4 linked regions of the Schizosaccharomyces pombe genome follow. The gene in region 2 interacts genetically with the main gene of each other region. Each region holds a gene or a part of one and is shown on either strand. Other genes may lie near its edges. The genes, in order: gdt1, rad9, cid1 and pcf2.

What was found.
Region 1: mutations in rad9 (region 2) and gdt1 together harm fitness less than expected from each alone (positive genetic interaction), as found in Schizosaccharomyces pombe (one large-scale study listed by BioGRID).
Region 3: of rad9 (region 2) and cid1, extra expression of one rescues a mutant of the other (dosage rescue), as found in Schizosaccharomyces pombe (one study listed by BioGRID).
Region 4: mutations in rad9 (region 2) and pcf2 together harm fitness more than expected from each alone (negative genetic interaction), as found in Schizosaccharomyces pombe (one large-scale study listed by BioGRID).

What each region holds. Positions count from the first base shown.
Region 1 is NC_003424.3:5,537,206-5,544,973, forward strand, and holds gdt1 (GDT1-like protein), read right to left. Parts: upstream 4,277-7,768; 5' UTR 3,934-4,276; coding exon 3,145-3,933; 3' UTR 2,827-3,144; downstream 1-2,826. Other genes in the region: SPOM_SPAC186.04C (uncharacterized protein), read right to left, coding at 1,369-1,896; SPOM_SPAC186.06 (isomerase), read left to right, coding at 5,214-5,768.
Region 2 is NC_003424.3:1,711,851-1,719,721, reverse strand, and holds rad9 (checkpoint clamp complex protein Rad9), read left to right. Parts: upstream 1-4,005; 5' UTR 4,006-4,185; coding exon 4,186-4,290; exon of another isoform or gene 4,291-4,343; coding exon 4,344-4,677; exon of another isoform or gene 4,678-4,734; coding exon 4,735-5,348; exon of another isoform or gene 5,349-5,404; coding exon 5,405-5,632; 3' UTR 5,633-5,802; downstream 5,803-7,871. Other genes in the region: gamma-glutamyltranspeptidase Ggt1, read right to left, coding at 1-226; bfr2 (traub family ribosome biogenesis protein), read left to right, coding at 2,002-2,011, 2,054-2,101, 2,148-2,247, 2,309-3,509; ribosome biogenesis protein rlp7, read right to left, coding at 5,939-6,565, 6,783-6,905. UniProt on the Schizosaccharomyces pombe protein: Acts in DNA repair and mutagenesis. Involved in promoting resistance to ionizing radiation and UV light, as well as regulating cell cycle progression after irradiation. Repressor of entry into mitosis that is activated by chromosome breaks.
Region 3 is NC_003424.3:5,201,156-5,208,922, reverse strand, and holds cid1 (terminal uridylyltransferase Cid1), read right to left. Parts: upstream 2,344-7,767; 5' UTR 2,211-2,343; coding exon 1,967-2,210; intron 1,863-1,966; coding exon 1,722-1,862; intron 1,621-1,721; coding exon 788-1,620; 3' UTR 501-787; downstream 1-500. Other genes in the region: ptr1 (E3 ubiquitin-protein ligase), read right to left, coding at 1-147; protein Emc10, read left to right, coding at 2,788-3,459; protein tyrosine phosphatase Pyp2, read right to left, coding at 3,965-6,100. UniProt on the Schizosaccharomyces pombe protein: Cytoplasmic uridylyltransferase that mediates the terminal uridylation of mRNAs with short poly(A) tails such as such as act1, hcn1 and urg1 mRNAs, hence facilitating global mRNA decay. Uridylates the 3' ends of actin mRNAs upon S-phase arrest.
Region 4 is NC_003424.3:4,115,265-4,123,568, forward strand, and holds pcf2 (CAF assembly factor complex subunit B Pcf2), read left to right. Parts: upstream 1-4,609; 5' UTR 4,610-4,634; coding exon 4,635-4,766; exon of another isoform or gene 4,767-4,861; coding exon 4,862-4,964; exon of another isoform or gene 4,965-5,005; coding exon 5,006-5,248; exon of another isoform or gene 5,249-5,313; coding exon 5,314-6,374; 3' UTR 6,375-6,610; downstream 6,611-8,304. Other genes in the region: RecQ type DNA helicase Hrq1, read right to left, coding at 1-1,917; mgs1 (DNA replication ATPase), read right to left, coding at 2,023-2,121, 2,162-2,936, 2,981-2,998, 3,044-3,074, 3,118-3,709; protein Gid5, read left to right, coding at 6,885-8,304. UniProt on the Schizosaccharomyces pombe protein: Acts as a component of the histone chaperone complex chromatin assembly factor 1 (CAF-1), which assembles histone octamers onto DNA during replication and repair.

The sequences.
Region 1 (7,768 bases), 3.8 Mb from region 2:
TAATAATGGTCACTAGATGTGCGGTTTTATTAATTTAGCGGCACCAAAACGAACAAAACATAGCTCCTTTACTTTAACTTCTTTAGTAAAGCGAAAAAAAATTTAAATATAGTAAACATGAAATTTCATTCATCACGAAAGAAGCTTGACGTACTTCTCTATCCTTTTAAGTTAACAAAACTTGAAACAGTCATGTAAAATTTACGGATGTAAAAAAATTATTCAACGTCTTAATATAATAAAAAGGTCAAAAAATGATTATTCGGGTGTAATATTTTCTTATATAAATTATAGGATCAACTTCTTAACTTCAAAGTAAAATTTCGTTCCAAAACATCACCTAATTAGTCTTGTCAATTTGAATAGTGTTTTTTTTTTCTTGTCTCAGATAATTGATTGCAAACACTGGGCCAGTATATTACTAAATCAGAACAATTACTCCGGCAATATCAACCCCTATGATATTCCCGAACACCCTACTTCCACCATACAGACATACGACATTCTACACCTCATGCTAATTTAGATTTAAGTTGGCAGGTATCGAAGAGTCATATTAGCAGTCGCAAAAAGTAAATTAATAAAATACAAACATGCCTCAGGGTACTGGTGAATGGTATCATACCAAAACAGCTGTTCCAAAAAACTTACAAAAAATGCGTTTCCTTAAGTCGTAATGTTTTCCATTGAACTACAAACAACTACTTGTAGCCGTGCTCTGATATCCTAATATCCCCCAAATTCAGTAATCAAACTCTGGTGGTAACCATAAGCGAGTACATTTTTTGGAATGCACCCTAGATTTATAAGTAGACAAGATAGACACTATTCGCGAAGAAATTTGCGAATTATGGCTAATGAGATAGTCGTAGCTGGATTAACATCGCTACCAGATTTATGCACGCTAACCATCAAACAAAAGCCCCAAGGAAAAGAAAGAGATTGAAAACTTCCAACATTTTCTTTCATAGAAGTAGCTTTTACTTCCCTACAGCAAAGACATCCAAACTTGAGTTCCCGAAAACTCAGCAGAACCTTAAGAAGCAAATGCCTAATTTGCACCAGTAGTTAAGGAATAAAAATTTGTTTTTGCTACACGAATTAAAAGTGACTTCATTAACTTCTTTATTTATAATCAGCTGGCAGTCTTAACTTCTTCTACTGCTATGTAAAACTGACTGCTGTTTTTGAATCACGGAACCACATTCGTAAAACGATCTACGTTGTAATTTCATAAGAGTAAATTCAATTGAGTATAACCTTACACCTTACTATGGGCGATTGATGATTTGTAGAAATAAGAATTGCTTTGAACTAAAGCCTACTTGCTCTACCATAAAGACTGAATGATTTTCATTGGCTAGTTTTTCATCGTTTACTCTGATCCGTGACATTAGAAACTGCGTTTTTTATTTTATTTTTCCAACTGGATGATCCATCCATACCTTTCAGAGAAACTGAAGAGTTAGTTCTGGAGTTTAGTCTAGAATTTGATACTGATGAAGCTCTAGAACGAGCCTCTAGTTTCTCAACCACAGAATTACCAAGAACATGCGGCAAAGGGCCACTCAAACTCCACACCGGCTTGTTGGGTTTTCTTCGCGCATTTAATTCTTCGTAAAGAGGATCGACAAAATTTGAACGAGGAGTTTTAGAATTATCCTCAAGTTTTCCAGCCAAATACCCTTCAAGCCATTGTTGAGCATCTGGGTCTGCAAATTTGCTTAGGTCCTTAAGGTTTGGAGAAGAGATATTCATTTTCAAGGCATCTTTAGGTCTCATTTGTCGTGTAAGATTAACATAGGATCTTTTTGAAGCTTTTGGTTCATTGGATCGGCCATCATAAACGTGCGCATCGTTCGATGATGGCAATTGAATTCGTGAAGAAGTGTTCATATAATATAGAATGAAGAGGAATGACCTCAACTTATATGGAAATTTCACGATACGTATTTGGATACACCCGGACGAAGTTTAATTGATTTATGAAGAAGGTGGGGAAATTTTCTTACAACTTTTTCTTTTCGATTTTTTAACAAAATGCTTGCGCTTTAGTAAGGAAAAACTATTGAAACGTATGAAGTTTTCTTTATGATTGCTTCCACAACAGATAATCCTTTAGTATACGCATTCGCATATGTGCCTATCGGTCTCAAGTATTAATGTGGACAATGTAACCGATCACCTTGGTTATATAATTTACAGCACAACCTCTTTGTACTCGGTATTTCACAGAATCTGAATGGGCCGTGGATAGGCTAATATAATCATTGAAACCATAGGTGGTAGTCCTTTTGGATCGTGTAGTCGGTTCGCCATTTTTTATTGACCTTTATGTCATTATGTCATTATAAAGAGGAGTAGCTGTACTTCATCCGAAGTTCGCTTAGTGGGCTTCGAAGTACTACTAGTCGACTCCTAATGGAGTTTTAAGTGGGGTCAGGTTCATTCGGACTCCATTAGAGTCTATCTCTCATCTCAAGAGTTTCCTTTTAGTAAAGAGTAAGTAAGTACTGTCAACCAACTTTTCTAATTTGTAGCTCTCATTATTTTTAAAGAAGCGATCTATGAAAAACGTTGCAATGGAGTTAGTATGGTCTTTAGAGTAATTGTATAGTGACAAAAAAATAAATAAATAAATAAAGAGAAAAATACAATTAATGAGAAAATTGTAAATAAGTATTGAATATTGATATAAACAAGTTTTATCAAAAACAGAATATGTCAAAAATGCAAATAATAGTATAAATAATTTCTAAAATATACATTTGTACAAAAGTAGCTATTAAATTACTAATTCCATATATAGTATAGTACTTGAAGTAACCAGTATACAGTTAATTGTACGAAACTATTGCATTGAAGTTATTAAAAAATAGTATCAAAATACAGAGAATTTGGTGCCAACTGACAGATAAATTAGCAAAATAAGTCATTTCCGATCAAAATAATTTTCTCACAACGAGTAAATGGCATTGCTTTTTTAAGAATTTAAATCCTTTGGAAAATCTAAATAAGGACTTTAAAGAGTCGTATGTTAACGCTGAAAGCATTATCGGAAGGTATAAAACGTAGCAACCGTTGAAAATTATTTCTTCACTTAGCTATAAAATATCAAAGTAATAAAAATTGTAACCATCATCATCAAAAGCCTTGAAAAATGTACAGTATCCCAAAAATCATGAATACAATCCCTCCAAAGAACAGTACCTTATACATTTCGATTTTATTTGATATGTATCTTCCGACAATCACCGCTACCATTGTACACAGCATATGACCAATATTCACCCCAATGAAAACATCAAGCACCTTCTCCTTTGCCGACATAACAATGGTAGCAATTTGAGAACGATCCCCCAACTCACTAACAAAAATTAGTGCGAAAGCTTTTATGAAAGCCCGGGAAAATTTTTTCGAAAACAGATTTTTAAAACAGCTCATACTAAAGACTTTGAAAAATTTGTCTTTAAGCGTAGAGCTGCTTCTATTGCTGGCTGGTAATCCCAATTCTAATGTTTTTTTCATATCTTCTTCGTTTACAATAATTTTTTCGACTTTGTCAAATTCATTTTCAAGAGACTGTTGACTTTCTCTGACCTCTTTACTCTCTTTCAGCATTTTTACCCCAAATATCAAGAATAGTGTTCCACCAAGAATATGTGTTATCGATTTAGGGAACAGAAAAGGGGCAGCACGCCCAACTAACACAGCAAACGAAGTCATAAAAAAAAGAGCCAAATATGAACCAAAAAAAACGGATGCCCGTCCATATTGGTATGCCAACAGAGCAGTAACGATGAAAGATTTATCTCCAAGCTCACAGCCTATGATCATTGATATTGACATTCCAATGTTTTGAACGGAACCATGACTAAACTGCAAACTGCCTAAAGTAGTTTCCAAATTTAAGGGACTTTCAACATTAATCATGATTCATTTACGTTAGAGGGTAAAGGAAGATAAAACAATGAATAAGCAATAACTCTAATCGACAGTTATTTGAAGCTTCACTCAATAAAAATCTAAAATTTGCAATTCAGGTGGTTAGGCACAACGAAAGTTGGTAATTGATGGCCAATGCTGATAACGAATATAATGATGTCTCAAACTTAAGGCCTTCTAAAATACAAACAAAAAATTTCGATGTTTAAAACATTATCGAAAATTACAACGCACACTTTATGTATAGAAGAAGTTGAGTCACGGATGATCCAATCCGAAGCTTAAAGAAACAAAATCGTTAGATTCTACCAACACGGATGTGGGAAAACTTAGCTTTTCACCGGAAAAAAAGTAATATATAAGCATGGGAAAATTACCGACCATTTTTATTTTGTCAGCTAGGCAGTTTGGTATCTGATTTAAGGATACGTAGAAATGCGGCAAGTTTTCCTTGTGATCTATTATATTGCGATACACAGGTAGTAGAAGTAGCAGATGAGTATAGGCATTGTATTATCTAGGTTATAATGTTACCAATAACTGATATTGCTTATAACATTTAAAATAGCAACAATTTTAACTGATAGTTAGTTACTTTATCATAAATGATATTACAACCGTATTAATAACTTATTATGTGAAGTTGATAGAGCAAATAGAACATTATGAACATGTGACGTATAATGATACGCAACGTAGTGACTGTATTAAAAATTTTACAGGAAACCAAATAGTGATAATCGTAGCACGTCGAACATTAGGTTTCACTATTTCCAGTTTATCTTTATACATCAGTAGACATAGCTAGATAAGAGTTTCAGATTGTATCTTGCTAATCAAATTTTTTTAATATATAAACCCTTCTCAGTTAAGCTGTTGACAAAATTATTTAGCTTTACTTAACATAGCTTTATCTGCACGAATGGCATTATATCCATTCAGGCAAGTCGATGTGTTTTCTACTAAAGGATACGCTGGTAATCCTCTGGCAGTTTTTTTGGACGCTGACGGTTTAAACAGCACGCAAATGTAACAAATCGCTAAGTGGACCAATCTATCCGAAACAACATTCATACAGAAGCCTACCATCCCAGGAACAGATTACAGAATTCGTATATTCACACCGGGTTGTGAGCTTCCATTTGCTGGTCATCCTACTATCGGATCATGCTTTGTTTTGTTGGACAATAAGTCTTGTAGTGCCAAGAAAAATAAAGTAGTGCAGCAATGTAATTCCGGCCTTGTTGAATTGACGTTACATAACGAAGATGTCAATCAAACTTGGATATCTTTTCAAATTACCGAGTTATAAGACTTCAAGTATCTCACCAGAAGTAATAGTAGATTTGGAAAAATTTTTGAATTTATGTGAAGGTTCATGTTCACAATGCAATACTCCTTTTTGTGTAGATGTTGGTCCAAGGAATGCTATAATTCAACTACCTAACGGTGCTGATGTTTTGAACTTGAATCCTAATTTTCAAGCTATTTTTGAGTGCTGTTCAAAAAATTCGTTGACTGGCGTCCAAATTTTTGGAATGTATAACGACGGGACATACGAACTTAGAAGTTTTTGTCCTGTTCATGGGGTAAATGAAGATCCTGCTAATGGGAGTGGAGCTGGATCAGTTGGTGTATTTTTCGCCCTCAATAATCCATCAATAATCTCTTCCGATTTCGCTCATTTATTATTTAATCAAGGAAAGATATTAGGCAGAAATGCTTTAATTCGAGTAGCTATCAAGTTGTCTGCAAACGGATTATACGATATTCATGTTGGTGGCGGATCCAAAATCTGCATTTCTGGAACTGCAGAAATCTGATTTTTATTTAACAAAAGGACTGATAAAATATTCACTCGTTAAGTTACTGATAAATATTGAAAATATTAAAAAAATGAATAGGGTTTGTTTTATATCGGTATCCTAAAATAGCAATTAAAAATAGTGATATTCAATATGTATTGATCAACGGATTTTGAATTTATTATTCATTATTTTTTCATTTCTTTTCTTTCGATAAAAAAAGTGATTTCTTAACCAAAATCGGTTCTGATTTTTAATGAATTAGAACATCGCCCATATAACATACCACATGTAGAGCATGTTAAAGATGTTTTACAGAGACTGAAAAATGCACATTTGATTATCAACCAAGCAAAAGCGCAAAATTTTACAAACTAACAAATGAATTTGTAGGGTATCATATTTATGAAAAGGAATTTACATTTTGTCAAGAAAATATAGACAAAGTCCTACAATGGAAACAACCTAAGAATTGTAAAGAATACCTAAAATTTCTAGGTTCTGTCAATTATCTAAGAAACTTATATAATCTGCAAAGTCAAATAAACAACATATCAACAGAAATACCCTTGCCATCATTAAACTACTCAACCATTGAAAATTTATTGTATTTACCTTATTCATACCTTTTCCCTTTTTTTAATACAAAATAAGTGTTGGGTTATACGATTAATGGCTCTTTATTAGATGTTTTAGTGTTCGGGTATCGGGACTTTGTATATTCCATAATAATAATAGCGTGAAAAGTTATATTGTTGCTTATCATTCGAATAAAGTCATAATAATTAAATTTTGTTTCTTTGACTAAATACAATTTTTCGGTTGTGTGTATTGTTAATGTAAATTGTTATGAACGAACTGAACCAAAACTTAGATGTAGAAATTTATTCAGGAGTGTATTACACTATATTTGTTGAACCCTTTAAGCGCTATAAGTTTTTTGGATTATTTTATATAATTAAATAAACCCGCATATGCATTAGAGTTGTTGGGCAAGATAATGTGACATATTCTGAATTTCTCCATTCAGCAGCGTATGCGACCTTTTTTCTAACCTTTTTTAGGTAAAAAATAAATACAAATAAAATGTTAAACTTAATCTTTGTATCAAATAAGCAATACATATAACTCTTAAATCGCTAAAACTTTCATTTTTTATAACCTTCATTCTTCCATTTAACATATTATACGATATGACATATTTGGCATGTTAAACGTGATTATATTGATTGTATAGATGAAGTTGCTGTAAAATTAGTTCCACTATTACTACACAATGTTATATAGTGACCAAACCCGTTAATTATACACTACATTTGGAATTTTTGGGATAATAACATTTATGATAGCTATTGAATTTTAAACTTGTACTATTTACTCAACTATAGGTTAATAGTGAGCCAGATGTACGATAATACTTAGCGAAAACATACTAATTCATCAGTAGGTCCGCTCGCCCTACCAGAGTTCGGTAACTGTAAATAATTTGAACCATCACTGATTGAGGTAGAGTCTGAATTATTTTAAAGAGGAATGTTGATCTAATGGTTTAATGAAAATGAAAACTGTGACAGTAGTAACTTAGGCCAAATTAATACGGCTTATATGGAATGTAAAACACAATCGTTGAACCAGGCTACAAAGTGCATTTTTATCCAGAATAAAGCGGCATTAGTCAAATACAGATCCGCAAATTTATTCTGCCATTAATGTGTCGTAGAATTGGGATGATATGAAAGAAGTATCATTTGAATTTTAATTTGTCTTCCTTAAGATTCCTGTATGTTCACTTATCAAAGACTTTTTTCTAATAAACTAACGTGATGAATATAAAGTATAAACAAGTTAACAAGTCTTATAAAATAAAGTTCGATCAATCCATTAAATATTCTAAATTCAATTCATATCACACATTCGAAAGATATGAATTAAAAAATCTTAGTGTAAATAAATAAATTGGAGGATTGAATTTTTCAATTGATGAACATGAATGCTTAGTAAAAATAGAATAAAGTAAT
Region 2 (7,871 bases):
AAAAAAGGTCGGGAGATAAAATTGGCCAGATGTATAAAGAAAGTATTGTGCCTGCCAAAACAAGAAATGTGACAAGAATAGAGGGACGAGAAGCCCGTTCTTCTAGAGCTGAAGTGGCTGATTTCTTATTAGATGATAAATGCCGATTTCCAGACTTCACATTTACAGAACTTCGAGCGATGGAAGCAGCCCCTGAACTCTGAGCAGAAGACGTATTGATACCCATCACAATTTAAAAAGTGCTGAAAATATCCAAAAAAAAAAAAACAAGGTATGAAATGGAATGAAATTAAATTTAAAAAAAATACCTTTACCAAGATTAAGGAATCTTGCACAAAACCTTTGAGAAGAGGGTATGGATGAAGAAAATGAAAAGAACTTCTAATTTAACAAATTTAATTTTTGGGGAAAAATGACCCAAAATGGACTAAAGAAAGCCAACCGCAACTTCTACACCTTTTTTTTACGATATTAGCATGAAGAAATCAACAAGGCTAATCAATAATTGAATAGCGTTAGCTTTAAATAAATTCAACGGAAGAAATCCTTGCTTCTCAAGAGAACGGCTCGAGTTTGCTGTGTGCGTGCAAGTTGAGAGAAATAAGCGGGAGGCAAATTGGTGGAGCAAACCACATATCTAATTTATACAACCGAAAACATGGTTTTGACTGTGAAGCCGGCAAAACTAACAAATGCATTTTACTGACTAAAATATCTTTCATATCTTTTGTTTTTAAAAACCGCATATTGGCAAAAAATTTCTAAATCGATAGGTAGATCCTTCGAAAATCCCAATTGATCGACTAGTAAGCGAGGCCGAATAATATGGCGATGAATGCACAATTCATTCAATGTTTATGAATGAGCACTTTGAAAATGGATATTCCATGAAAGATAGATAATAGAAAATCGGTATTAAATGTATTTGATTTTGTAGTCTTTCATCTATCTGTCTAATAATGGTTTGCAACATCGATGTTTATGATATTACAAATTGTTTTTAGGAACTTTTTTCTTATAGTTGATATAAAACTAATATAATAGGGTCGAAAGCGATTCATTTTAACTCATCGATTAATTCAAATTTTGATGTGTTAGTCTAATCCTGGATTTATTTACATGGGCAAAGATTTTTATCAAGGACAAATAGTATTTCAATGCCCAATTCATTTGGTTCCAGATTTTTTGAAAAACTTTTTTTTAAATGTTTTTATTTTCTTTCACATATACTCTGTTACCGATTCGATTTAAAATATTATTGAGCAAAAGCAGTATGCAAGGGTATTGGAATAATATTGACAAAAGCAAGGTATGAAACTTTAAAAAAAACAAATTAGATTTTATTTTATTTTTTTAAGTATAAGAGTTTACGTCTCGTTCTTTTACAGCAGCACCCCATTTTCGAATCGTATGTGTAACGAAATTTTTGAATTTAATTGTAAACATTACTTAAAATCAACACTGTTTTAAGATATTTTTTTGCTTTTTAAAAATAAGCAACAAGTTAAATAGAGACCGCTTTTATTGGAAACAGCAAGCATACACTTACCAAAACTCAACTCCTATTCTTATAACAGTTTTAGAGAGACATAATACTCGTTAGCATAATACACAGTCAAACAATAAAATAATAAATTGGTAATTGTTTAGTTACATTGTCTAGACAGAAAGAAGCAAGATGTGGGGAATTTCCGAGTTTTTACCTTGAGCTTTAACGAACAATTTTTAGCCCTTTAAAAATCGATACTTTAGTCGGTTGCATTCTCTACGTCGTTTTACTAATATAATCAACTCTCGTGCTGTGTTCGTTTTTTCAACTTTTGGTTGCTTCATAAAAACCATATTATTTATTTCAAACAAAGTAATATAACCTCGTCTGTACTAGCTGAATCCGATAAATGCCTTCAAACTTCATTCTTATATTTATTTCATACAATGATAATTTTGCTAACCCACACCCCTTCACTTACCCAGTCCCAGACACATCAAAATTTGCTCAAAATGGGTAAAGGTAAGTTCAATAAGATATTTTTAGGTTCTAATAAATCTTTAGTTTCTTTAAAAGATGAATTGGCAGGGATGCTAAACCCTCAACCGCAGGGTATGTTATTAACGAAAAATTCCGGGATTCTTACTCACATAAATAGAAAGAGACCCTGAAGCTTTAGAGGACGCATTCTCTGATAGAGAGGACTCTAGCGAAGAAGAAAACGATACCTTAGGGAGAGAACATTATGTTGATGTTAGGTATGTTCAAAATTTTTACTTTTGCGTATTTGAGCTTATACTAATGTTTCATATTTTATAGTGAAAGTAAATTACGCTCAAAACAGGCTCCTCAGTTAGACCCAAAATTTAAAGGAAGAAAAACGTCTCGCCAGGAATTACTTAATAGCGGTTCTTTAAACTCTCAATCTTCATCACCATCTGAAGAAGAAGATTCGGAGGAAGACGAAAATGATGCAGTTTCAGAAGATCACGAAAATTTTTCAAGCTCAGAAGCTTCATCAATTTCTGAGGAAAATGAAGATGACGACCAATCTTCTGCCATTCCTGAAAAAGACATGGATCGTTTAAAAAAGATTATAAATGGAGAGAAAAAGCTATCTGATCAAATTCGTACATCCGCCCTTGAAGACATGAAAAAGGGTTTAGCTTTGAAGGAGCAGATGCGTTTTTACGATAATGTTTTAGATACTAGAATCCGTCTTCAAAAAGGATGTAGTCAACTTCTTTCTTCCAGCAACCAACTTCAAGGTGATAAAGTAGAAGCCCGAGATGGTTTAGTATCTTTTATTCAACACACTTTACAGCTGAGGAAAAACTTACTTATTGACTCTGGAGTGGAAATTCTTGACAGTAGATCAAAAAGAAAAGAGAATCCTGTTAGTCTAGAAGAAATTGCTTTAGAAATGAATAACCTTGACGACTCTTTGAATGAGTGGAAAAATGATACTTTAACCAAATGGCATAATCGGGTTCAAGCAGTGCAAGGGATTTCGCAATCTAACAAATTCAAGGCTCTAAATCAAAGTATTGTTCAACAAATCGAAAATTCTATGATTAACAAGAAAGATTTGGTCGAGCGCACTAGAATTGATTACAGTGACCCTAACAACAAAACTTTCAATCCCGAAATTTACAACGACACGGATTTTTATCAATCATTATTGAAGGATTTCATTAATTCTAGAATGGCAGACTCTACTCGAGATGGCACTGTTCGTTGGATGGCTACAAAAAAGCAAAAACAGAAGAAAGAAAACGTTGATACTAAGGCATCCAAAGGTCGAAAAATAAGGTATCACGTTCATGATAAATTACAAAATTTTATGGCTCCCATTGAAGTGACTGTATGGCCGGATGAACAAACTGAAGATTTGTTTAGTAGTCTGTTGGGTCAACAATTAGATTTATCAGAGACAGCTAATGATACAAATACTTCAAACTTCGTGGAGAAGGATGATGAACTGATCTCTTCCAACGACGGATTTTCTCTCTTCGGTTGAAAATAAGCTTGTGCGTGTTGGATAAGCTTCACTATTTGTCTTTTTTTTAATATACGCAAGCTGTGCTAAACATTTAGGGTGCATGATTATTTTTACTTACAGTATATCTTTTTTCGGTTTTAAAAAGGGCATTCGCGGATTTTGGTTCTATTATAATATATTTCGTTTACAATTATTTAGGTTAATAAAAAAATTTAACATATATATGGTTACATAGATGGTCACAATGTCGGGCAATTACAAGTAATAAAGGGTTATCTTGGGCTGAAGGTTTTAGTTTTTGTGCACTTTAGTATTTTAAGCATAAAAGTATGTACGTTTATATGATGTACAGTTGAACTCTTTCTGCTGCAAATTAAAAGCAGCTATAAGTTTCTTCTTATTACAATTCATTGTGTATATACAGATTATTTTGCGATTGATGTTGGCCATTACACTTTCGTACAAATTTCGGCGCGCGTGTCTATACTAATATAAGTGCGTTAAAGCAGGTGCTAGAAAACACCACATTATAGATTTACCTCTGTATATACCAGTTTCAATTCTGTTTGTCAAAAATTGTCGAGATTTATTTACTTCTATTAGCATGAATTAAGAAATTAATCGTCATATCGACTAGAAACTATCGTTATTCGTTCAGCATTCGTCTACATCAATTCACGTACTGGTATATAAAATGGAATTCACTGTTTCAAATGTTAATCTTCGGGACCTCGCAAGGATCTTTACAAATCTTTCTAGAATCGATGATGCTGTCAACTGGGAAATTAACAAAAATCAGGTGTGTTGGAACTTTTTTCAAACCTTACTAAACATTGAAACTAATTGGTAAAGATAGAGATTACATGTTTAAATTCTTCTAGGTCAGGATTTAGCATGGTGACTTTAAAAAAGGCATTTTTTGACAAGTACATTTTTCAGCCGGATTCCGTCCTGTTGACGGGATTGATGACTCCTACAATACGTATTCGTACGCAAGTCAAGCCCATACTATCTGTGTTTAGAAACAAAATCTTTGATTTCATCCCGACTGTCGTCACTACCAATAGCAAGAACGGTTATGGCAGTGAATCTGCAAGCAGAAAAGATGTGATTGTCGAGAATGTTCAAATCTCAATCTCTACTGGTAGCGAGTGTAGGATTATATTTAAATTCTTATGCAAGCACGGTACGTAGTTTGTCCGTCTTATTATTTTATTTGCTCTACTAACGTTTATTCATCAAGGAGTGATTAAAACATATAAAATATCATATGAACAAACCCAAACTTTACACGCTGTTTTTGATAAATCTCTTAGTCACAATAATTTTCAAATAAACTCAAAAATTCTAAAAGATTTGACTGAACATTTTGGTCAGAGAACGGAAGAGCTTACAATTCAACCACTTCAAGAACGTGTTTTACTTACAAGTTTCACAGAAGAGGTCGTACATAATAGAGATATTTTGAAGCAACCTACCCAAACAACTGTTTCCATTGATGGTAAAGAATTTGAACGCGTCGCACTTAATGAGGGAGTCTCTGTTACCCTTTCTCTACGTGAATTTCGTGCTGCCGTCATTTTAGCAGAGGCATTGGGAAGCTCGATTTGTGCATATTACGGTGTCCCAGGAAAACCGATACTTTTAACTTTTGCAAAAGGGAAAAATTCCGAAATTGAAGCGCAGTTCATTCTTGCAACTGTAGTTGGATCAGATGAACAAGAGGTGTCATCTATGATGGGAAATAGATGGCAGCACAGTTCAACACCAGCTTCTCTGTTCAATTCAGTAGAGCGCAACAACTCATTGACTGCTGTAGCACATAATCCCCCTGGATCTATTGGATGGCAAACTGATGTATGTAATTCGGCTTTAGTACTAAGTACAATAATTTATTAACATTAACTTTATAGCAAAGTGACTCATCCAGAATGTTTAATTCTGCGCTTGACCGAAGCGACGAAACTAATGGCATTAAGGAGCCATCAACCACAAACGATGCTGGTCAATCATTGTTCTTAGATGGTATTCCTAATGAATCCGAGCTTGCTGCTTTTAATAATGATGTGAACGATGATGCCGAATTTGGACCAACGCAAGCTGAACAAAGTTATCATGGCATTTTCTCTCAGGAAGACTAGGAAAATCCTTCTTTGCTATGGTGTGTAAAATTATGAACATTTACAGGTGCTTGTGACAACCTCATAAAACACAGCACTCATATTATATAATGTACAATATTTATCAATAATTTAGTTTTTTTTAACTACAAAATTACCCTCATCATACGATACGTTACATAGTAGTTCTAATAAATCAATAAGATAGTGAATAATGTAACCCAATTAATTAAATTCCAATCCACGGCCTATAAAAAGTCTAATATACATTTTTGCATTTTCATCTGAATGCAAAATTTAAGTCATTACACGAACTCAAAGAAAGTTTTAAACTTGTTTCTTAATCAATTCGTTAATTTCTTCTCCACAATAGCCAGCCTTTCGACCCTCATTAAAATGTTTGACCTTTTTCTCCATCAAACTGTGTTTAACTGGAGTCAAAGTGAATGGCCATAAGAATTTAGTAACTTCCTTAAAATGAGAGCCTACATTGTAAATTTCATGAATGATATCTTCAATGGAAATAACATCATATTTGCCCAAGGCCTCCTCAATTAATGCATTATCAGAGAGAGCAATACGCTGACCATTGATCTTACCAAAGCCACGTTTATAAATGAGTTCACGAACAGAATGTAAATTGGGAATACCATACATAACATAAGGTTCGACGATTCGAAGCATTTGAGCAACGGCTTTATTATTTCGCACAAAAACGGCATTGTTAATTCGAGAAAGGCGTAATAAGCGCAGAACTTTGCGAATTTTAGGAGGCATATTCTTGACTCCGGCAATTCGAATAACGAAAAGAAGTTTTGTTTCATCAGGCACGAAAATGTCTCCTTTATTTTTCGCAGATCGATTTAACCTAATCCGTTCTCTTTCTCGTTGGCGGTAGTTATTAATAAAAGTCTCAGCCCTTTTGAAGGTTTCTTTACGATTTTTCTTCTGGGCCTGGAGTAAAATTAGTAAAATGTTTTTAACAATATATAAAAATTGATGAAGTCAAAGGTTTAAATTTAACCAATACAAAATATATGAATCAGCCGAAAGATGGTATTTTGGAGCAGCATCGTCGAAACTAGCAATCCAAGAGTGAAAGGTTCATCTTTTTCATATAAATATGTATATTATGGATATTTCAAACCTGTAGAACAAGCAATTCACATACCTCTTTTTTGGCAATAGCCTGCTCAACACGTTCTTTCCGAGTACGCTCATTGACCTTGCGCTTTTTTAAAAGCACCTCAGGTTCAAGCATAGTCTGTTGTACAACCGGTGCATCCTCCGCCATTTTATCGTCTGTTAGTAACGAGTAGAGGGCACGTTGGGACTATAGACAGACGAAAAATTATAGCTATGAAATGTGACTGCTTTAAGACACATAATGTTCTTCGTTACAATCCGCTAATAAGCGCAAAAAAATTTTGAAGCGATTTTCAAATAGGCTTTGAAATGTGTACTTAAAGGTAAAAAATGGTGTTTAAAAACTATGGCAAATTTAATTTGACAATATAACAAAAATTGCACAATAGTAGATTGCTCCTTCCATATCGAAGCATCTCTTTCTAATAACCAAGACCAAACTTTATCTAATTGACCTTGTACCATTGAAATTCATGTTTAAAAGATATACAAACGATTTTAATAGGAATATTATCAATGTTGAATGTAATCACCTGGTGCTCAAACTCCTCAGGGACGTGGGATATGGAGATGATAAATTTTGCACAACATTAATCGAAACAGTGCGAAAACACATGAGAAGTTGAATAATTGTATTATTAGCCCTTAACTTCTTAGGGTAGCCGTTTAAATGTCATTCATCCTAAACTGAAAAAAAAAATGTGACATTGATGAAATATAGTTTTCCACACGCAATTTATGTAAAATAATCATATACATTTATAAAAATCAGAAAGCAATTATTAAAAGGAAACAATTGATAAACACAAATTTACATATACTGTAAGAAAATGCATGAAAGCCCTTGCAATTCAAAATGAAATTACAAGGTTATTCTATCAATACGACTGTACGACTTACAAACTCAAGAGACTACAATATTTACCACGCTCTTAAACAGCCACCAATGTTATATGCAAATAGGAATTTTAGTGAAACTACTTAAAATTTTTTAAGTGAACTAGCTTCCACTTCTGCTACTGGATACAATACTGTTTGCGAATGTACATAAAAAGCTTAAGTTACCCAAATTCAAACAAAATATTTATACTCCAGTTCTGCCTGATCCATTAAC
Region 3 (7,767 bases), 3.5 Mb from region 2:
CCAATCGTTTTTTCTGAATTCTGAACAAAGAGAGACAAGACCCAAGTCTGAAGTTACTTCTTCATTTTGAGCTTGTCTAATAAACTCAGCAACCCTAGGAGGTGGCTGAGAATATTGATTTTTAGGAGGACTTTTCGTTATCCTCATTTTTGCTTAAAGCATCAAAATCTCGAAATATAGTTAAATACCCACCTTGAGAAAAATGCCAAATTTATTATGTTCTAATGAATTGTACCAACGAACAGAAGGGAAATAGACCCAGCTGAATGTTTGGTAAAAGTTCAAATGTGATGGTTAGCATGCTGCAATGCGTCTACAAATTTGGAAACAATATGAATTTTACGAAAAAATTTGATAAGCTAAAATAATTTCTGTACGCTATAGTAATTAAGAAAAAAAGATAAACTCTTTATATGTGTTTACGCACATTACCGAGGCTAAACGAAAAAATATTTGGTTATTTCCGTTCAATTTAAAGAAATTGATATAAACAATAGCTTAGCATTTGCAATAAATAATTATTAATTATAGATCTATGAAAATTTTTTGGACATTGATGTTAACTATGATGAGCCTATTTTCTCACCAACAAGTAGACTATTAACAAGAGGTTGTACATAAAACAAAGGGGGAAAGGTATTAGAAACAAGAGGTCAAAATTTTTAAAGAAAAATAAAAACATTCCATGCTTTCAAAAGTAAGCAAATAAAAGCAGAGTAATAATGAATGATTACTATGAATCTAGGGGAATGAATATTGATGCGCTTTTTAAGACTTCTTTGTAAAATCACTCAGAATTGTCACCATCGGTTTCATTCAACAATTTTTTGTTAGATTGTTCATCCGTTTTTTTCTGGCGACGAGGCGGAATTGGGGCCTCCTCAAATAATGAATCATAAGGGATAGGATATGAGCGAGAATTGAGCAACCTTGAAGCGGCCATAAATTCCCCTCGAATCCGATACAATCCAGAACTGCTAACTGTCCTACCCACATTATGTGAAATCTCGAAAGGATCTTCAATCGCAAGAATATACCTGTCTTTTATAATTTGATCAGCCGATCCAGTGTGTTCAGTAGCTGAAGTCCATCCTTTCTCTTGCTTTGTGAGGTAACCGTCTGGTCTACGAAAAGTTACTACCTTTTCCCGTGGCTCGAACTTATAAGCATAAAATCTAAAAAAGCCATGAAGTAAACTTCCCAATGAGCTATAATTTTGGGAAGGAGGGATATCTTCCAGTTTATCGTCAAAACCAACGTCAAATCCATCAACTATCTTTTCTTGTTTCAAAGGTGACAACAGTAAATTAGGAAAGACGGGAGGCTTGATAACGTGAATCAGATAGTAAAGAACCATTAGGACGTAACCATAACTGGAAAGAGTTCCAAAGTAAGGAGAGTTGATTTGCTTCCGTTTGGCCCAATGCTTAACAAGAAGGACCATGGGTTTTAGGCGAGCATCTAATTTTGTATATGAAGAAAGTAAAAGCGTATTATGAATAGCTAGACGATTGTTAAATCCAATATCACATTGAAACGAAGCCCCAAATCCATTTTTCGTATCAGATGTTAATTTGATAATGGGAATTCTTGCCCTTTGTAAAAATTTTCCTTCAAATCCTGTCGATAGTTAGTTATGCGAGCCAACTGGAAAGGAAAAAAACAATATTCAGAGATAGTTTGTCTAAACTGAATAACTTTTAATGAATAATTATACTTACCTTCAGCTATAAGCTCTTCATAGAATTGGAGCGCAATTGTATCACTTTGGACGCGCGAATCCATAAGCACGCACAAATCCATATCCGAATTTTTAAGTGCTAAACCAGATTCCAAACTTCCAAAGGCTACCAATTCAGCATCTAAGTCACATATCATTAGAATTGGACATTATCAATATTTGGTAAAGTCTCCACTCTCGTTAACTACATAATTGAGACAGTCCTAAATTTATATTCAAACATACCAGGGGATATTCGTTTAAGGCATAGCCGAAGTGTATCTAATGCCGCTCTCTTTTCTTTAAACTCTTTGTCACTAATTTTAATCTCATTATACACTTCATAGCAAAACTTCGTAAATTCCTTGTGCGAATTAGGGACCTTTTGGTAGCTACAACTTTTTGAAATATGTAAATTTTTGTGAATTTCTGCCTCAATCTCTTCAACTGTGTGAACACCAGGAATAAATTGTGCAGAAGAAATGTTCATATTCGTCTACTGCTCAAAAGGTGAAAGTGGCAAACTTATTCACTTTCTCTTTGAGTAATTATTCACTGTTTAATGGTCTTTGATGCTTCCTTTTACTAATTGAAGCAAGTCAGTTACAGTGTTTGCTTTTGGCAAAAGCTCCTTTACCAATTGATATGTTACTTAATAGCAGTAGGGGTGACAGCGCTAATGGATGAGGAATGAGCTATAAAAAGCAGTAAAGTAATTGAAAAAAGTTAGGAAGAAGAAATCCTAAGGTCCAAATGTTTTCTTTCTCACTTAAGAAGCGAATGTTGTATGGCTAGTAATGGTTTATGTGAAAAAGGAAAATTAGCAAATAATCCGTTGAAAGCCTTAATCATGAATATTTCTAACAATAACTACTAATATTTAGTTTATTTTTATGTCAGCGAGCTATCTTCGTCACAGTTAAGCAAAATAGCTTCACTTGATGATTATGGACGAGCTTAACACCTAAACACTACGCTCTTCCTACTTTCAGATACAAAAAGTAATTTTCGTCCGGAAAAGATAATATATTTTATTAATCTCATAGATTTTACGAAATTTACTAAAAATGCTAGGACAAGGCTTGATTTTTATCAGTTTAGCCTTTGTTGCTCATGCATTAGAAATTCCTATTTCTTGCGCTGTATCACATAATGAGCAAACAGAAATATTTCCACATGGTACTATTGATATCCCAGAAATGACATTTCGTCCTTCGGACTCACAAATTGATTGGAGTAATCTTTCTCACTCTGATTTTGTACAATGTGGAGTATACGAAGATTCTACCAACACATGGCTTGCAGGCGCCAGCAAATACAAAATTGATGAAATAAAAACCCTTCCAAAAGTACCTAGAGACCACTATATCATACTTTGTGATTCATCAGAAAGCAATGAGATTGCAAAATTTACTCAAGTGGTCCACTCATTTGATTTTTCATCCGACTCAGAAAGTGCTGTAGTCGAGCAATTGCATCCTTCTTCTCCAATTCCAATTTTAACTACTGCTGTCAGAAAAAAGGGATCACGTCCATCTAAACCCCAGAAGGAAAAACAAGGAAATAAACAGGGTTCTAAAACCGAAGAATCTCCAAATGTGGACGAAGATGAATTAGAGTCCGAACCTGAGGAAAAGACATTTTTCCAAAAATATGGTTTATATCTCATCCCGATATTGTTTCTGATAATTATGTCTGGTAACAATGCAAATCAACAGGCAGCAAATACGGCGAAATAAACGAGTCATTATATATATGCCTTAAAACAATTGCGTCTCGGCTACGATAATTTTTTGATTATTGCTACTACTTACTGTGCTCTTTACAAATATTCTAATTCATCTATTTCCATTCAATAATACTGCTATGTGCCAGATGTACGATACTTAATAGTACTTTAAAATCTATACAAACATTTGTAATGAAATATCGTATAGGAAAGGTTAAAATAAAAAAGAAGGAAGTTTCTACGTGCACATAACTAATTTAGTCTTTAACAATTATTCCATTCCAACATAAACAAGATTCATTAATAACTAGATATAAACATTCATTACACGCATGAGATAAAATCAATTTTTAACAACAATAAGGAAGGAATTACACATGATTACCGGAGAGTGTGGTTAAGTATTTTTAACATAACCTTCGCGTCAGATAATGTAAAAAATGAGGAATTACACAATCTCACATAAATAGAACATAGTGTGTACAAACACAGAAAATTAAAGAACAGTCGTTTCGTTAAGTCATCAAGGGCTTGGAAGCCTGGTTAACGCCGCTATTTAAATAATCCACGACGTCGTAGAGAAATTTGAATTGCTCAAAGTTTTGAACCATTTTCATCCGTTGTGATCTCAACGAGTTAACACAATTGAATATGAAATCTTTTGAATCTTCCAAATTGGTCGTCTTGGGTAAAATGTTTTTTGGTACCTGAAGTATTTGGTCTACAGCAATAAAAGTACCAGTGCGTCCTACGCCTGCTGAACAGTGAACGAACATTGGTCCATCATTGGGAACCTTATCAATACAACGTATGATTCCCGTGATGCTTTCAATATCTGGATGGGTTTTGTCAAACCACGTGTGCACCCAAAAGTGATGTATATACTTTGGAGGACCATTAGGTTTATCCAATCGAAACAAATGAGTGTTGACCTTCAAATCTTCAAAGGTTTCATATTTTTGAACAGATATGCGTAATCCGCCTTCCAAGCATAATGCGTGATCTTTGTTATCTGGCCAATATTGAGAACATTTCTCACTTCCCGCCTCATACAGATTTGTGAGCATTACGATAACACCATTTGTTCCTGAGTTATGCCAAACCATTTCCCAAAAGTCTAAAAGAGTTCCCGGCTTAGGGGCCTGGCAGGCAATATATTTTTTATTTCCAACGTCTATATGTGAAGCATTAATATAATCAGAACATCCTTTTGGAACGGCTAGACGGACTCTTGTTTTATCGTAGGGCACGATATCTGTGTAACGATTTTTTCTTGAAATGGAAGTGGAGCGGCTGGAAGCTAAACAGCACCAATCAGATTTACTGTCATTAAACGCTAGGGATCTAGTCATTTCCATTTCCTCAAGTCTTTTAAACTTATAAAAAATAGAAGCAGTATTTAAATCCGCAAGCACCTCACAAGGAGGAGGAGAAACCTTTTTGGCACCCCAGGGATTACAAGTAAAGGGTCCTTTGTTTTCCTTGGAGAAAATGCTTCCCTTGGTCTCTTTATTAAAGCACGGTTTGTTAGCTCTTCTTAGACCGCCTGGTTTTGGAGCATCTCGTGTGTTTGATAAACCAACAGATGGTTTAAGTTTGCTTGTCATCGTACTAGTACCATCATTCTGTGCATTGCTATCACGTTTCATTGACTTCCGTGGAATAATTTCCAAGGAAGCTTGAGACAAACTTGGATTGACGACGTTGCTGGATTTAACATAGTTGCTAAAGCTACGAACGCGAGAAGCAGAAGGCCGTCTCTGATTATTCGAGGAGGGATAAGAAGGCACCGATCGTAGAGATGGCCTGGCAGGAGTTTGCTGAGGGGCATTGCCTACGATAAAAAAGTTTTTCTGTTCATCAGGCGTACTAGGACAAGAAGATGCGCAAGAAATGGCGGGAGAGATTGGAAAATATGGCATTTCAGCTTGAAAAGCTGAATTTGGGGGAGAGAGGGGTGAACCATATATAGATTGGCACGAACGAACAGAAGAAGCAGTAGGAGAGTGAATCGAAAACGGTGTTAAACCTGAAAATCCAGGGTATTCCGCATGACTCGCGAACTCACTAAAGGTATCGGAGACTACCGAAGGTGTGCATAAAGGTGGTGGGATGTTAATAGGAACTCTCAATGGAAAGCTATAATCTGGTGAAATAGGGGTAGAAACCGCAGATGGATCGGATAAATGAAGGATATCCAGCTTGCAATTCTCATTGATGTCAATTTTGTATGGGACCGACTCCTTGACCATTTCGGTAGAGACAATGGCGTCCGGATGAGAGGAAGCAAAGGCTTCAAATCCATTGCTTAATAAATAAATTTTTTTGGAATATCCACCACGTCGAAACTTCTGTACCAAATCATAAATACGGTTCATGCCAGCCATGCTAGAGTCGTATAGGAATATGGCATTAATTTCATCCAACGAGACTTTTACGTTGCATTTTATACAGGCGAAAACCTTTCCAATGTCAAAAGACGGACGACGTAACAACGCAGTTGGAAGAGAAACGTTGATGGCATTTTTTATATGGCTAACAGCATATTTGGAGTGCAGGCGCAAATCAATAATCCAAGAAACGCTCTCGGTTTGTTCTTCAAAAGACTTAAGAGTAGAGTTAAATTCGTCTTTAGACAGAAGATGGAGCATAGTAGCACAAAATTTTTGAAAACACCTTGGAAGATGTTATATCCTAAGTAAAAGGGACAGAGACAAGATTGGCCAAGCTAAAATATATATACAGGAAACTTTTAAAATGGCACACAAATTAAAACGAAAAAAAAGATAGCAGGCGAGTGTGAAGAGGTGTGCGGGTTAAGAGAAATTTTTTGAGTTATTTACAGTGTGCTTTCGGAAAAAAAGAATATAAACAAAATGGAAACGTAAGAGAGAAGAAACTGTATAAAAATAACAATTATTGACTTTTTGCGAGTTCAATCAAGGAGTCAAAAATATAAGACAAAGAAACTCCTGGGCGACGTGAACAAGGATGAATGAGGAAACTTGTTGATTGAAAGAGACGAAATCAAACAAGCAAATAAATAAATTTTTAATAAACAGAAAATAAACAAAATTAAAAGTTTTGTATTCTTGGATGATGGTGGTTAATTTTTTTGTGATGAAAAGGAAAAACTGCAACTCGATTTTCCCTTTGTATTGCCTATTGATGTTGAACAGAGAAAAGCTCCTTTTTGTCAAATAAATAGAAGTCCGCGAAGTGGCGCTGGGATATAAAATGCAAAAAAGATAGATGAGTGAATATATATGAATAAATAAATAAACAACTAGTAAATGAGTCAAATAGGTGAAATCTTCACGTAATATACACAAGATGGGTAAAGTTGAAGTAACTTTAACACGTAACAAAAATTTTCTTCTACGAAGAATAGGGCTTCCATGCGATCCCTAAATCTCGTACACTTAAAATTGGTACAACTTGGTTTTTCCTACATTTCACCACCAGGCCCTCATATATATATATATATATTTTACATGTAAGAAGGATGTAGATCGATTTACGTCTGATCCTCGGTTTTGGCACCAGGCACTGGGCAGTGAGACCAGGTAACATACAATGTAATATTATGTAGTCATGACGTGTCAAGATCGTAGACGAGGAAAAATTTTAGGCAACAAAAACAACGGCTAAAAGGAGATTGAAATGAGCTAAACCAAGGAATTTTTTGAAGCTGAAAAATGAGTTCTTTTAGTTTATAAAGTTGATGATGATTTTTTTCTTTAATTCCTCGAAAACAAAGTTCGGGTACTAATGTACCTAATTTCACGGTCACGTCATTCTCTGCTACCTAAAGGGGTTTCCCCATACTTTTCTGCTAAGCGACCGTTTATTCTAAGATATAACGAGAGGTAAGATGGCAATACGGTGTACTATTTAACGAAATATTGCATAATGTGACGAGTGACGCTTAGAGCACAGTAAGACCGGATCTAGTGAAGCCGAATGCATGGAAGAAGCCCTCTCTTGGGCCACAGCAAAATAAAGGGCCGCAGCGAACCAAGGCTAACTCGTAATTAACACTAGTTGTACTGTGTAGCACTATGCAGGATTAAAGAGACTTTGCAAAGCCGGGAGATTGTCTTAATGTGGACTATACGTACGTTACTAGAAAATTGAGTCGCTATGGCATGCGCTATTGTGAAAAGTGGAGAGGGGGGCAGGGAAGTGAATGACTCGGTGGTACTTTACGTACTCTCATGTACTGCGTGTTTCTAATCGTCAGGTGAATCCAAATAATCCCCTTGTTTTGTTCACATCAATAATATGTCTTAATTATCTTCTTCTGCCTGCTTCCCCA
Region 4 (8,304 bases), 2.4 Mb from region 2:
ATATGGAAATCCTATGGTTATAACGGCATCCAGTGATCCTATATCAATACCTAGCTCTAAAGCATTCGTCGCAATAATCCCATATAATTTCCCGTTAAACATTTCACTCTCTATCTTCCTGCGTTCCTGAACCGTATACCCAGCCCTATACGATTGAATCTTAGATAAAAGATCTCCTTTTTGTTTGGTTTTTAATTCCTGCCTCACTAGTCTCATTAACGACTCACAGGTTTTTCGAACACGACAGAAAACAATTGTACGCACCCGCTTTTCGGCAAATTTAATAAGCAGTTTCGAGGCTTCAGAGATTGCGCTTTTCTTTCCATCATCAGGATGCTTGGGGTCGACATAAGGTGGATTCCACATTACAAATTTTTTTGAACCAGAAGGAGAAGAAGTATAGTTAATTAGTTTTATATTATCTACTCCAAAAATTTTTTTCATATGTTGTAAAGGATCCTCAATAGTAGCCGAGCATGATACAAATCGATATTGACTATTTCCAAAGTACTCAGCAATACGGCGCATCCTTCTTAGAACAAAAGCAACGTGAACGCCAAATATTCCATTGTACACATGAGCTTCATCCAGGACGAAAAGTTTCAGGTTTTTAAAGAAATAATACCAACGATTAGCATTGGGAAGAATCGTTTGATGTAACATATCCGGATTCGTAAAGATTATATTTGCAGATCTAATAATACTTTCTCTAGACTCAAGTGGTGTATCCCCATCGAAGGTGTCCACTCGAATATTCTTAAGCGTCGGCATATAGCTAAGTATATCGATTAACGACTTCTTCTGATCTTGGGCTAAAGATTTAGTAGGGAATACAAAAAATGCCGTAGATTGATTATCTTCTAACAAACTTTGTAAAATTGGAATTTGGTAAATCAAAGACTTTCCACTAGATGTAGAAGTTGACACTATAACATGAAATCCGTTCCAAAGGTGGTTGATAGCGTCTGCCTGATGTTTGTATGTCTTTTCGATGTTTCTAGATGTATAAAGAGCATTTATAAGCTCTTGAGACAAAGGTCGAGACAACGCTCCATATTGTGCTTCAACAGCAGGATAAGTATGTAAAGCTTCTTGGACTATTTGCCCTTCGTAAGAAGATTCAGAAGCTATTTCATTTAAAAGTTCTTCAATTGAGCACGCTTTAGTATTTAAATTGCAGTTTTCTATTGAATCATTAGGAATACTCGGTGAATCAGGAGGAACCGGCTGGTTTTTCCGGGATTGAGTTAATAGCTGTTGCGTTGGGTCAAGTTCTGTCAATTGACATTTTTTTATATATTCTTTAATCCCTTGAAGGAACTTTTGGTTTCGTAACTCTATGGCTTTCTTCAAATTATTAAAATCCAGCTTTTGCCTCTGGATATTAGCCTTCATTGTTGGGCCTTCACGTCTCCTTCGTTTGGAACTTCTCTCTTGCGTTTCTAAAAGCTCAATAACCAAAACATATTCAGAACTCTGTGAGACCGTTGAACCAGTGTACAACTCAGGGTTTAGATCAGTGTAAACATTTTTATTGATTTCTAATGCAAGGCTAGCAAGTGATTTATAATTTAATTCAATTATTTGAGGACATATTTCTCTTAGCTGAGATAAATCGCCGATTGTCAACTCCTTTTTCAAACTTTGCTTAACACTCGAATTGAGAAGGGGAAAAGTGATTGTAAGAGAATTTCTCAAATAAAGAAAAGTGTATGTAGTATTAATTACCTTGAATAAATTAAAAAGATTGTCAAATATGGATGGAATAGGCTGATTAGCTTGAATAGTTCCAAGTTGTGGTTTTTTTTTGGGATTATCTGCTTTCAGAGGGAGCTTCCCTTCATTAATATATTTTTTAAATTCAAATTTATCATCCTGATCATTAGATTCTTCCTTTTTAATAGGAGTTTGAGACATTACCCCTTCACCATTAAAGTATGGGCTAAGTGCAAAGGTATTGAAATACAATGATTTCCATTATAACGTGGTAAATGAACAATTAGTGAAGGATCACTTATATAATTATTTAGTATCAGTTTTTAAATTTTTAATTTCTTCATCCTCTTTTAACTCTATAGGTAGCTTATAAAACTTTGTTCCCTTGATAGAATCGGGTAAATACTGAGTAGGTTAACAAATTGAAAAGAATATTTTTTATTACCTCTTGCATTACTAATCCGTCTTTATAATCCGGATTGTATTTATATCCTTTATGGTATCCTAATTGCTTCATCAAATTTGTAGGAGCATTTCGAATATGCATGGGAATTTCAGCCCTGCCAGCATCGGGATGAGAAGACAAAAAACTTTTTACAGCATTATATGATCTGTAAACGTCAACTGATTTTGGAGCTAATGCTAAGGCGACGGCGCAATGAGCTAGAATTACATCGGCTTCAGGCATGCCAACTTGTTGAACAGCAGTAAATGTACTGGATGCTAGAGGTAGCATAGAATTATCTGCTATTCCAATGTCTTCGCTTGCTATTCTAACCATTCTTCGTGCCACATACAGTGGATCTTCTCCAGACTCGAGCATTCTACCCAGATAGTATAAAGTTGCATCGACATCAGAACCCCTTACTGATTTATGGAAGGCAGAAATTGTATCATAATGAACATCACCTACTCTGTCGTAAAGTGCAGAAGATCTGACTAGCTTGTCCTTAATATCTTCGAGTGACAGGGGTCCTTGTCTTAGCATTCCAATAGACATTTCTAAAGCATTTAAGGCCATTCTAGCATCTCCGTCTGTAATAGCAGATATGTAATCAATAATAGATGTTTCAACGTTGGGCATAGAAGATCCTAGTCGCTCACTTTCCAGTAAGCAAGCATGGTTTAATATTTTCTTAACATTATCACGCGTTAGTTTCTTAAGCACAAAAACGGGGCATCTGCTAATGAGAGCAGAATTTAGTCGGAAAGAAGGATTTCTACAATGTTAATCATGGTGGAAAACATTAGTGTTTAAACATACTCAGTTGTTGCGCCGATCCTAATTCAAAGGTTAGCATTTGTGATATTAGAATGCATCACTTACAGAGTAACTAGACCCTTTTCAACCATTGGCACTAGTCATGGTTAATTGAAGAGATAAAAAAATATCAAACTTACAAAATATATCCTGTTGCGCACGGTTGAAACGATGTACTTCGTCCAAGAAAATAATAGTCTTTCTTCCTGTCAAGGTGAGATAATTTTGTGAGTCTTCAAAGATTTTACGACAATCAGCAACAGTCGTCGAAGTCGCAGAAATTTCTATGAACCTTGATTTTGTTGTAACGGCAATTAGTCTAGCAAGCGTAGTCTTTCCAGTTCCAGCACTACCCCATAAAATCATGGAATTGCACCTATCTTGTTCAATCAGATTACGAATGATGCCTCGCTCACCAACCAGCTCTTCCTGACCAACATATTCATCTAGTGATTTGGGTCTTGCTCGTTCCGCCAGTGGTCGTGTATCCCGTCTTGTAAGTTTAGTTTTCTTTGTAGGGCTGGGTTCAGGCTCTATAAATTTTGTAGCGCTCTGGTGAGATGAGACATTTGTTTCTAAATGATGTTTATAGCGTTCCTTTTTAAAAAAGGGTGAAACAGGTTTCGAAGGGCCTGATGAGTCCGAATAATGTGAATCAAGGTGTGGATTAATGTCATTCATCGTAACTGTTTTCGCGCAAACAGGACATTGAACATGATCTGGTCCTGACATTCTGATTTACATAGATAAAAGTATGTGGTACGAAAGGTAAACAGATAAATCTGGAATGAAACAATAACACATACAAATGAGCGACCTTTGGCAAGAAAGTTTACAAAAAAAAGTAACGTTTAAGGAATTTTGATCATCAAAATTGCTTGTTGTTTATGACACTCTCAACAGCAATATAACAGAGCTGAACGGCATCGATTGTACAAAACCGTGAACCAAGTCGTCGCGTGTAGTTAGGGAATTATACGATGAAGTAAGAGGTTATAATAATATCAAAGTATTTGTTTAAGCTAAAAATATTACTTACAAGAAAAAGTTAGATTTTAAATTCATATGTGTTATTATAGTTGACAGTTTTTATACGCAATTTCACCGCCTAAATGATAAGATATTAAAAAAAAAACAATAGAAATGATGAGTCTATGGAAGATAATAAAATGTCTAAAAACCAAAATGATGTTGATCCAAGACTTGTAAACTACGCGTTTTAAACCCTCAAATTTTGTACTCTATTATATGAAATACTCTGTTTTTAAACCAAGGGGAAAGGATGCAATTTCAACTGTGAAAGTCCATAATATTTATAAGAAATCGAACCTTATAAACTTACCTAACACTAAACATAGTAATCGCACGGCTAATAAGAAGACTATTGTGCAAACTAAAGGGCTTTAAATAGATAAAAAAAAATAGAGTATAACGGGCACTCAGCATATAATTCAAAATTTTTCCTCCAACTACTAATGCTGCTTGAACATTGAACCCAAAGCAAATTGACAAATAATAGAAATAACAACAATATTAGAGAGTTCATAAAAAATTCTCTTTGAACTCTAAATAATATACACGTTAGTTCCGTACTCACGAAATTACTATTAGAAAAATTGTGCGAAGCGATCCTAGAGCACTAACGACGAAGAGGAACATGAGAGCGGAGGTTTTGCAGATACGATGGCATTATGATGCTAATGATGATCACACACCTATTTATTCAGTTGATTTTCAAAAGAACAGTCTTAATAAATTTGCTACATGTGGAGGAGACAGTAAAATCAGGGTAATGATTTGACATAAAACTATTTTTGCTTCAACTATTGTTTGTTGTAGTTTAAAAAAAAGAAAGAAAATTCCTTCAATTATACTAATATCCAGATATGGCAATTGATCACTTCGGAATCATCCACAAAAGTCGAATATTTGTCTACGTTAAGTCGACACACGCAAGCAGTGAACGTCGTTCGTTTCAATCCAGAAGGTATTCGCTAATAATTTTTTCCAATGCTCACATTAAAATAGGAAATATTCTTGCTACCGCCGGAGATGAAGGAACTATTATGTTATGGGTTCCAACTAACACTCCTATAACAACTTTGGCTGATGATGCGGAAGAGTTGGCTCTAGCTAAAGAATATTGGAAGGTCAAAATAGTTTGTAGGTCGATGGGTTCAGAAATATATGATTTATGCTGGTCGGTTGACAGTAATTTTCTTATTGCCGGCGCCATGGATAATAGTCTTCGGTTGTACGATGCTCACACAGGTATGAATTGGCAGTTGTTGTTATTGGCAATATTTTTTTTTAAATTAAAATTACTGACTAAGAAGGGCAACTGCTTACTCAAAAATTCGACCATTCACATTACGTTCAAGGGGTATGTTGGGATCCTTTGAATCAATACATCGTTTCGGAAAGTAGTGATCGTTCTATATGTTTATACGAAATTCAAGAGGAAAAAAAGAATCCGAAAAAATTCCAACTCGTTTTAAAATCGCGCATCTGTCGTATTGAGTATAATGTAACTAAATTCGAATTAATATCTGTTACGAAGCCCTTAAATAATGATGAATCATCGGGGATATCAGAACCTATCGAAACTTCTAATAATAATGAGTCTCCCGTATCTAAGCACGAAGCTCTCTCATCAACTGCAAACATAGTCAAAGATGGAAGCTTAGAGCGAACAGAGCCTCCAAATTCTCTCAATTCAAAAATCAGTTACTCTTTGTACTGCAATGAAACTCTTGTTTCTTTTTTTCGTCGTCCAGCATTCTCCCCTGACGGATTACTACTAGTTACGCCTGCTGGTCGGCTTCGACCGCACGGTCAACCAAACTTTGAAGTTCCCTATACTGCTTATATTTATACAAGAGGGAGTATAACCAAACAGCCAGTAGCTTGTCTTAATGGATTCAAAAAACCAGTTATTGCGGTTCGTTTTTCTCCAATTCATTATGAATTGAACTCATTCTCTAACTTCTCTTTTACTTCTGTCTCTTTTAATCTTCCTTATCGAATGGTATTTGCTGTGGCATGTCAAGATGCTGTTTATATTTATGATACGCAAACTTGCAAACCATTTTATCGTGCAGTAAATTTACATTACTCTAACCTTACAGACATAGCTTGGAATGATGATGGAAATGTTTTGTTAATGACTTCTATAGATGGTTTTTGTTCTGTAATTACCTTTGAACCTGGAGAATTGGGTGTCAAAAGTCAACACAAAATTTCTTTGCCGGAGAAACGATCAGCTTCACCCTCTAGTATTGATGATTCACAAGACAATACGGCTGGGGGACCAGCTACTACAACACTAATTCCCAGAAAAGTTGAATCTTCAAAAGTATCAAAGAAGCGTATTGCACCTACCCCCGTTTATCCATAATTTCATGTTTATGAAAAAAGTTCTACTTCGACAATACGCTTTGATTTTTGGAGTAAAAATCTCGTACTTCTTGTTTTGTACTAGTAACTTTAAAGAACCTTTTATTTTTTTAAAAAAAAAAAAGAAGGCAAAACTGTACATTCTACTTTGGATGTAATCATTCGGTAATTTGCTTAGATATAAGCACAATTAAATTCATTACAATTGTTAAGATAAATATATAAAAAGCAAATAATACTTCTAATCGTTTGTACTTTTTGTCTACTTAAGACTATAAAACTAATATGTAACTTTTCTGTAAGTATAAAATACGTATTGAGGAACCCTCTTACACATAACATCACCACCATTCTATAGGAATTGCATCTTATACATTACTCATTGCATAGATTAAATTGCTAATAATCTACTTTTATTAAAAAAAGATTTAATCAGCTCATTTTCACGCTAGTTTTCCAAATTTACTGAAGTCTCATATTTTTTGCAAATATCTTCAAGTTTTGTTCATGAATGGTCGCCATTAACGACTCTACGGATTCTTCGTTTTTTAAAGAAAATCCTAAAATATTTAAGGATGAGCATGAGTTGTTGAGGTATATCGTTCCTTTCAAAAATTGGGTAATTGGAAGACCCGACAGAAAAGAATATGCAATTCGCAATGGAGCTCCAAAGCTGTTGCTTAATTTATTTTCCTTAGAAAATTTATCCATGAATGAAAAATATCAAGTTTTTGTTGTTTTAAACTCCTTGATGAGTGAGGACCAGGACCCTTTCGTTCAATTTTTACGACACGAGGATCTTCTTTCCGTTATGCAAATGATTTCGAAAAGGGATAGTACACCATATGGAATGCTGAATATCACCCTTAAAGTTTTTAACACAATGCTGAGTTTTGACAAAGCAGCAGAATATGTCACTCAGTTACATTCGGACTCTATAATTAATCAAATGTTTGACTTGTATACTTTACCCTTGAAAGAACAACCTTCTCTTGATGTGTTGCGTATCTCAAATTTATCTTCTAAGATTTTGCATCGTCTTATCCTTTATAACTCTAAAGTTGGAGACTCTCCACGATTCTGTTCTGCTTTATTTCAAATCACTAACAGAGCTACCCAATTGCGCTTGTATTCCAGAAGAAGATTTTGGAATGATTGCTCTATCTTAATTACTAACTCCCTGGGTACTTTGAATGCTTATTTAAAACAGCATGTGAAGTCTTATAAACAAAGAGAGAAAACCCGGCTAGAATCAAATGGTCACGTTTCGCCTCGCGATATGGATTTAGATGAAATTGAAAATGTTTTTGAGGGAAACAAGGATAAGGTCGCCTTATTTAAATCAGAGATATTTGGGCCTAATGGTGATGAATATATTACTCAGTTATTCTGTCTCGTTAGACAGTTTGATCCTTGTATTCGCTTGCTCTCAATTTCTTGTTTAGTGACCCTATACAAGGCAGGCATCCTTTCTAAAAATCAAACTAAGGAGATTCAAATGATAGTAACTCCCATTCTCATCCGTTTATTTTTTGAATCTCGAGAAGCAAAACAAATCGCTCCTCGTATTCTCGCCATCATAATCAATGAAAACGAAATTATGCAAAAGACGGCTGTAAATGCAGGTTTTATTGATGCTGCCAAATATCTTCTAGAATACGCAACTAAAGAAGAAGAGAATGAAATTAATTTTTTATCCGATGAATTGCAATCCAGCGTTTGTTTTAATCTTCCTGCTACCAAAAAGGAGCAAAAAAACCTAATCTTAGAATCAGTTTTGCTAGCCGTTGCTGCATTAACAACTTCTAAAGATGAATACAGAAAACTAATAGTTGATGCTAAATATTTGCCTGTTATCATTAATGCTTTGAAAATCAATTCTAACAGCGTGAAAAAGGCTGCTTGTGAATGCTTATTAAGTCTCTCGAGAA